2 linked regions of the Macaca mulatta genome follow. The protein of the gene in region 1 binds, or shares a complex with, the protein of each later gene. Links are inferred from orthologs where the notes say so. Each region holds a gene or a part of one and is shown in the gene's direction. Other genes may lie near its edges.

Region 1 (3,816 bases):
GTGGAGCTTGCAGTGAGCCGAGATTGTGCCACTGCACTCCAGCCTGGGCGGCAGAGCGAGACTCCATCTCAAAAAAAAAAAACATTATTTGGTCCAGTATTTGAATAGCTATATAACCCGTCCACTAAACTATGATTTTATTTTTAGTTCAGAGTTATACAGTCTGTATGGGAAAGAAGTCCCTGCATCCTCTGATTTTCTCTGTTCAAACCTACTTATGACCTATATGTGAACTATAAATAATGTCTATACAATATATAAGTTATGTAAGTCCATTGACCTATTAATATTTTTAAAGAATATTAAGTTATACATAAATAGGATATAAGCAGTTCATATTTTAAGTGTGATAGTGATGTATTTCCTATGCATCTTGGATGAATAACAACATTTTCTAACTATAATAATAATTGACAATGTATTGATTGATATTGACTGTGTGTAATGTGTATCAGGTGCTGTGCTATATACTTTAAATTATAAATTTATATATTACTATAAATTTAAATAAAGTATAACTGATCCTCATTACAACTGTAAGTTATTATCATTGTATACATAAAGACACTAAGGGTCATAGATGTTAAGTAATTTGTCCTTACCTGCCAGTAAGTGGCAGGTGCAGGATTTGAACCCAAGCCTGCCTATTTCCAAAGCCTGTGCTTTTTATCACTTACTGTTCTTTCCACATTTCTGATCCCAGAATGGTTTTCAGGGGAAATATAAATAATAGTCTTTTAATTTACTGTTTGCTCACTTTGGAATACCACAGACCTCCTTTTATAAAATCGTGTTTGAATAATGCAGGACTAACAAACGTTTTAGCGTCATTTTTCCTTCTGATTCTAATGTATATATTTAATATTTAGGGAATTACTCTTTAACCAAAAATGCAACCAAATTGATATGTTAATAAACCATGTTGGATGAGCATCATAAAAATCATGCCAATACTGGGACGTTCGATCAAAACACAGAAAGCATTCTTGGACATTAAGAAATGTATATACTAGTATGGGTCTCCTCTGAATACAATAAGTCCTGCTTTGTCACTAAGTCAGGGCTTACTGCCTGGCAATATATTTTCTATTTCTACATCACCCCTTACATTTAGTGTCTGCTACCAGAGCAATCTCTTATCTCCTCCCAGTGAATTTTACAATTCTTCTGTGAGATTACCCTCTACCCCATGACACCATATTGCGGTAGGACAGAGATAAACAGAGACCCTGCCAGTCATAAAGTGAAGGTCTCCTGGGACTGTCTCCCCCATGCCTCCCCCTTAGATTTTGCCTTTCTCTGGAAATTGATAAGAAAACAGCTTCTGCATAGCAGCTAATGTTCATGTCTATGTGTGGTTCTTTTGTAGCGTAATTGGACTCCCAGGAGAAGAAGACTGGCCTAGAGATGTTGCCCTTCCCAGGCAGGCTTTTCATTCAAAATCTGCCCAACCAATTGAGAAGTTTGTAACAGATATCGATGAACTAGGCAAAGACCTACTTCTGGTAAGTTTTTGTGATGTCAAACTGGTCTGCACTGTGCCAGTGAGACACCTGCCCTACCCAGACTGGGTGGTAGTCACAAATATCAGTTCAGTAGCTGCTATCGGCATCACGTGCCACAGCCACGTGGGGCAGGAGGCGACAGTCCCTCCAGAGGTTTCATTTTCACACTTGTAGCAGCTGGTGGCTTTTGATTCTGGAATGTCTTTCTGATCCACATTTTTTTAAATCTGCCATCTTTGAATGTTTATTTCAATGCAGCTTTAGAAGCCTCTCAATTCACTTTGACATATGTTTATTTAGAAGTAAATATTATGTTTCCTTGCTTACAGTTTCATGCTACTTTAAGTAATTTGTCATTTTAATGTGCCTTTTGTTAAATATCCACAACTTTGGGGAGATGTTTTTCCAAAAGAACTATATAGCAATACTTCTTCTAGTTGCTAATTTATTTAATAAGTATTTAGTGTGCCAGGCACATATAAAATACCTCGCTGAAAATAAGGACTTCTGTGCTCTGTTTGAGACTCATAATACTCGACCATATACTTAATTTTCTATACCTGGAGGCCAGAACAATAGGTGGAAAAGTGTAGCTGTTGGGCTGTTCTTGATGTCTGAAACCCAATGAGTAATGAGTGTATCCTTTACCTCCTGAATCAACAGCCTTTGATATCTGCTTCTGCCCATGGGTGAAGCACAGGTCTTCTCCATGTGTCTCATTCTGGGGCCCATGCCAGAGAGGCAGCAGCTCCCTGGGGCATGTTTTTCTCATGATAGAAGGTGGATGTTCCAAAAGGGCAAGCAGAAATATACAACACCCCTGAAGGTCCATACTTGGAAGAAGTACCCGCCACTCTGCCCATGTTCCATTGGCCAAAGCAAGTTCCATACCTAAGGCCAACTTGAATGGAGGAAAGAATGCTCCCCCTATGGTGAGAGGGGAGAGAAAAGAGGGAATGTACTAAAAGTTATCCGATCTACCATAGTATCTAACTCTTGACTAAGTTGTGATTCCAGAAGCTCATTTTATGAGTAAACTATTTGGCAATTAAACTAAATTTTCTTGCAGAAACAATATTATTAACACAAGGTTTTTTAATTAATTCTTAACCCGGCAACCTTGTTCCTAAAGTAGAGCAATAATAGAACTTAAACACCTGTTTTAAACCGTATTTCTATAGGACAAAGTGTATTAAGACTTCCAACTTGAGATTCTCCTGCACCCCCACATTTGGCTAAGTCGTTCTCCTTCTCTCCACCCTCTTCCCAGCTTTAAGCCATCAATGTAGCTGTGAGGAAAGGGCTTCCTCTCACATAATCCTCTAGAGACACGTCTCTGTATCGTGAACGTATTCCCACAGCTCTTTTCTCTTCTTTCCTATGTCCTGGAGATTAAATTAGCTGCTTCCTTTCCTAATGCCATTACCTAATTTTCTCCTTCTTGGACTCTGGGAAAAGAGAACTCAGGATCAGGAATTTTGCCCCTGCTCTCCAGTCCTTTGGGAATTCAGCCCTTGCAAAGCTTTTCTAGAGATATTTATTGCTGTAACAGACACTTGGAACCTTTCTACAAACAAGCTCTTTCTTCCGCTTGCCCTTTAGCTCTTGATGTTCAGAAGATCCTATAGGGAGGCTAGCAACCATGGACTGAAGGGGAGCTCAGATTTCAGAGGACCCAAGAATTTGCCTGAAATACACATAGAACTTTCTGTTTGTATTTGTTTTTAAGCTTTCGATGCAATATTAGAGAGGTCCCTAATCCAGTTGGAACCTGACTAGGACTGTTGGCAGGAGTCCTATTAATATCATGGTCATGCAGACCTCTTAAGTGGAAGAGTTCTTCCATTAACCATGATAATGTAAAGTCTGTAAATTACATAGAAGACTGGAATGCACAGACATTTCATATACTCAGTTCACTTTAGGATGGAGAAGCCGATGTGGCTTTCCTGCTACTTGTGAACTCCTGGGGCAATGAGGAGGTCTTACTCATCACTATTTAGTGCTTGCCACCTGCTAGGCACCCAGCAGGAGGCATTGGTGGAAGGAGAGGTGGAGGATTTGAGTAACAAGATTACCTGAAGTAGGGGTGGAAATGAGACTGAAATTAGGGACACATTCTAATTTAGGTATGGACAGTTTGGGAACAGAGACTGCTGCTACTGCAAATATTTCCCTTTCCCTCCTTTCACCTTCTACCTCAGTAGCCCAGCCAAACTGCCCAAACCACTTGACTAGGACCAGGAGCTTCTTAAGTGCAAGCATCAGCTCATTCACCTTGGTAGCCCTACACTTGAGCTGTCAGCCTGGA
Region 2 (4,487 bases), on another chromosome or scaffold:
TCACAGGCATGCACCACCAAGCCCAGCTAATTTTGTATTTTTTAGTAGAGACAGGGTTTCGCCATATTGGTCAGGATTGTCTCGAACTCCTGACCTCAGGTGATCCTCCTGTCTCAGTCTCCCAGAATGCTGGGATTATAGGCGTGAGCCACCGCGTCCAGCCTTTCCTTTTATATAATAGTGATAATTCTATCCAAAGCTTTTTTTTTTTTTTTTTTTTTTTTTTTTTGAATCGGAGTCTCATTCTGTCACCCAGGCTGGAAGGCGGTGGCGCGATCTCGGCTCACGGCAACCTCTACCTCCTGGGTTCCAGCGATTCTCCTGCCTCAGCCTCCTGAGTAGCTGGAATTACACACGTGCGCCACCACGCCCGGCTAAGTTTTGTATTTTTAGTACAGACGGCCAAAGCTGGCCTCGAACTCCTGACCTCAGGTATCTGCCCGCCTCAACTTCCCAAAGTGCTGGGATTACAGGCGTGAACCACCGCGTCCGGCTCCAAAGCATTTTCTTTCTATGCCTCAAAACAAGATTGCAAGCCAATCCTCAAAACGGATAATTCAAGAGCTAACAGGTATTAGTTTAGGATGTGTGGCAGTGTTCTTAAGTCTTATATGTATTAATATACAACAATTCATTTAAACTCACAACACCCCTGTAAAGCAGGGGGTACTCATATTCCCTTCTCCCTTTATAACTAAGAAAAATGCAAAGTATTTTCAGTAGGAAAGAGAAATGTGAGGAGTGTGTAGGAGACAGGACAATGTGTAAAGCGGGTCTTTGGATCACTGTGCAACTCTGCCTCTAGAACACTGAGCACTTTTTCTGGTCTAGGAATTATGACTTTGAGAATGTAGTCCGTCCTTCCAATGACTCCATCTCCATTTTCCTATCTGCCTACAGGCAGAAATCTCCCCCGTATTAAATAAACCTCATCTTTTCAGAGTCTGCTGTTATACCAGGCAATGTACACGTCTGAGAAACCCTTGCCCCAGACAGCCATTTTACACGTAGGAGGGGAAGGGGTGGAGAAGGAGAGGGTAGGCCAACTCTCCAAAAGGAATCCTTTGAACTAGGATTTCTGAGTTAGTGAACCCCGCGCTCTCGAAAATCAAGGGTTGAGGGGGTAGGGGGACACTTTCTAGTCGTACAGGTGATTTCGATTCTCGGTGGGGCTCTCACAACTAGGAAGGAACAGTTTTGCTTTTTCTTATGATTAAAAGAAGAAGCTATACTTTCCCTATGACACCAAACACCCCGATTCAATTTGGCAGTTAGGAAGGTTGTACCGCGCAGGAAGGAAACGGGGCGGGGGGCGGGGGGATTTCTTTTTTTCTTTTTAACTGAGTGAACGCACTCGAACGCGCCTTTGCTGGCAGGCGGGGGAGCGCGGCTGGGAGCAGGGAGGCCGGAGGGCGGTGTTGGGGGCAGGTGAGGAGGAGGAGCCCAGTCCTCCTTCCTTGCCAACGCTGGCTCTGGCGGGGGCTGCTTCCGGCTGGTGCCCCCGGGGGAGGCCCACCCTGGGGCGACTTCAGGGGTGCCACATTCTCTACGTGCTCGGAGTTAATAGCACCTCCTCCAAGCACTCGCGAACGGCGCCCCCCTGCCTGGAAAGATACCGCGATCCCTCCAGAGGAGTTGAGGGACAGAGGCCGAGGGGGCTCTTCCGCCAGCACCGGAGGAACAAAGAGGAGGGGCTGGCTGGTCACCAGAGGGTGGGGCGGCCGCGTGCACTTGGCCGCTGCGGAGAGTGGGAGAGCAGGGAGCGAGCAGCCGGGAGCAGCATGGAGCCTTCGGCGGACTGGCTGGCCACGGCTGCGGCCCGGGGTCGGGTAGAGGAGGTGCGGGCGCTGCTCGAGGCGGGGGCGCTGCCCAACGCACCGAATAGTTACGGTCGGAGGCCGATCCAGGTGGGTGGAGGGTCTGCAGCGGGAGCAGGGGATGGCGGGCGACTCTGGAGGACGAAGTTTGCAGGGGAGTCGGAATCAGGTAGCGCTTTGAGTCTGGAAAAAAGGGCTTCCTGGGGAGTTTTCAGAAGGGGTTTGTAATCACAGACCTCCTGCTGGCGAAGCCCTGGGTGCTTGCGAAGCCAAGGAAGGAATGAGGAGGCACGCGCGTGCCGATCTCTCGAATGCTGTGAAGATCTGAAGGGGGGAACATATTTGTATTAGATGGAAGTATGCTCTATCAGATACAAAACTTACGAAGGTTTGAGATAAAACGGGAGTCTTAAAGAAATGTAAGATGTGCTGGGACTACTTAGCCCCCAATTCACAGATGCCTGGATGGAGTTTATCTTTCTTACTAGTAGGGATTATCAGTGGAAATCTGTGGTGTATGTTGGAATAAATATCGAATATAAATTTCTGATCGAAATTATTCAGAAGCTGCCGGGCGCAGTGCCTCACGCCTTATAATCCCATCACTTTGGGAGCTCAAGGAGCGGGGGGATCACCTAAGAGTTCGAGACCAGCCTGGCCAACAGGTGAAACCCCGCCTCTACTAAAAATACAAAACTTAGCCGGGGGGTGGTGGCAGGCGCCTGTAATCCCAGCTACTCGGGAGGTTGAGGCAGGAGAATCGCTTGAACCCGGGAGGCTGAGGTTGCAGTGAACAGCGAGAGGGAGCCACTTCACTCCAGCCTGGGTGACAGAGTGAGACTGTCGAAAGAAAGAAAGAGAAAGAGAGAGATAAAAAAAAAAAAAAAGCATTCAGAAGCAACTACATATTGTGTTTATTTTTAACTGAGTAGGGCAAATAAATACATGTTTGCTGTAGGAACTTAGGAAATAATGAGCTACATTCATGTGATCGTGCCAGAAGTAATATGTAGTCACCATTTTGGGAATATCTGCTAATATTTTTACTGTTTTGCTATCTTTAGCTTACTTGATAATAGTTTATTTTGTGATAGAGTTTTCAATTCCTCATTTTTGAACAGTGGTGTTTCTCCTCTCCCTACTCCGGTTTTGTGAGGGAGTTAGGGGATGATTTAAAAGTAATTAATGCATGGGTAACTTAGCATCTCTAAAATTTTGCCAACAGCTTGGACCCGGGAATTTGGCTTTGTAGTCCTAAAATATCTTAGAAGAGACCTTATTTGTTTAAAAACAAAAAGGAAAAAGAAAAGTGGATAGTTTTGACAATTTTTAATGGGGAAGGGAGAAGAACATGTAGAAAAGGGGAAGTGTTGTTGGCTTAGAATCCTAACTACACTGGTGTTTAATATAGGAACACTTATTTGTATAATATTTTTAAATGCTAAATTCATATCAATTTATTATCAAATGGGTTTAAGCATCCTACACATTTTAATTCAATGAATTCATTTTCTTTTTGCTTTGGATTTATATCATGATTTAAATATTTACATATGGGTTACTTTTTAGGTTTTTCATTCTATGAAATATAATAAAAACCTTTAAGGCTAGTTTTATGACCAAGACGAAGAGAACTTCAGTGAACACACGGAACAATAAATATGCTGCAACATTTTGTCTTTCTTTTTGTAGCTGCAATTTGGTTTGCTTATACTTTCTCTTTGTCTCTTTGAAAACTAAGTCAGTTTCACTTTCTCAGGACAGCATTTAATAACCATAATATAATTTAGTATAATTCCTTGATTTAGGCAAATTATGCAATTTGTGTTTAGTATGAAATGTACCTAAAAATAAGTAATTCCTCTTTAACACAACCATCCTCAAGCTAATATAACAAATAACAGTTATCCTAAAATAAATTGTTTATTTCCACCATGCAACACTCAAATTTTAAGGTTGCTATGACTGGAGACAGTATTTTAAAATTCCTCTCTGGAAATGGCTTTGTTTCCAAGATGATTTAGGAACCAAAAAGGTGACCATCTCTTGTTTAATGAACTCTCAAATCATAAACCTGGGAAGCCTTTTCGTTTCCTATTGCTGCTGTTACAAATTACCACAAATGTGTTAGCTAAAACAAACAAAATTATTATTTTACAGTACAGTTCTAGAGATCAGAAGTCAAAAATGGGTCCACTTTGGGAAACTCTAAGGGACAATCTGTTTCCTTGTCTTTTCCAGCTTCTAGTGACCATCAAATTCCTTGGCTCATATTCCCTGTATTTTCTCTGTGGCCTGTGCTTCCATTCTTTTATCTTCTCTCTGACTGTGACCCTCTAATAAAAACACTTGGGGTTCTATTGGGCCCACCCTGAAAATTCTGGATAATCTCCCTCAAGACCATTACTTAAATCACATCTGCAAAGCCTCTTTTGCTACATAAGTTAATAAATTAACAGTTTTTGAGGATCAGGACATAGACATTTGTGGGGGGGGGGACCTTATTCAACCTACCACAGGAAGGAATTTTAGGGCTAGTCTAGCATTCTTATTTTATACTTGAAGAAATTGAATTTTTGGAATTGGAGAGCATTATGCTAAATGAAATAAGCCAAACACAGAAAGACAAATATCACATGTTCTCACTTATCTGTGAAATATAAAACAAAT

The links.
Region 2: the proteins of CDK6 (region 1) and CDKN2A are in contact, whole or in part, in a crystal structure (PDB 1BI7), measured with the Homo sapiens proteins. The link is inferred for Macaca mulatta from reciprocal best matches to the Homo sapiens genes CDK6 and CDKN2A. Residues at the interface, in NP_001138778.1 of Homo sapiens: Glu14, Cys15, Val16, Ala17, Glu18, Ile19, Phe28, Lys29, Arg31, Leu33, Asn35, Gly36, Gly37, Arg38, Phe39, Arg44, His100, Asp102, Gln103, Asp104, Thr106, Thr107, Asp110, Lys111, Gln149, Thr154, Ser155, Leu166, Ala167, Arg168; in NP_000068.1 of Homo sapiens: Thr18, Ala21, Arg22, Gly23, Arg24, Glu27, Asn42, Tyr44, Arg46, Gln50, Val51, Met52, Met53, Met54, Gly55, Ser56, Arg58, Asp74, Ala76, Thr77, Thr79, Asp84, Arg87, Glu88, Gly89, Phe90, Asp92, Asp108, Trp110, His123.

What each region holds. Positions count from the first base shown.
Region 1 is NC_133408.1:126,759,962-126,763,777, forward strand, and holds part of CDK6 (cyclin-dependent kinase 6), read left to right. Parts: intron 1-1,369; coding exon 1,370-1,505; intron 1,506-3,816. UniProt on the Homo sapiens protein: Serine/threonine-protein kinase involved in the control of the cell cycle and differentiation; promotes G1/S transition. Phosphorylates pRB/RB1 and NPM1.
Region 2 is NC_133420.1:77,239,052-77,243,538, forward strand, and holds the start of CDKN2A (cyclin-dependent kinase inhibitor 2A), read left to right. Parts: upstream 1-1,463; 5' UTR 1,464-1,781; coding exon 1,782-1,907; intron 1,908-4,487. UniProt on the Homo sapiens protein: Acts as a negative regulator of the proliferation of normal cells by interacting strongly with CDK4 and CDK6. This inhibits their ability to interact with cyclins D and to phosphorylate the retinoblastoma protein.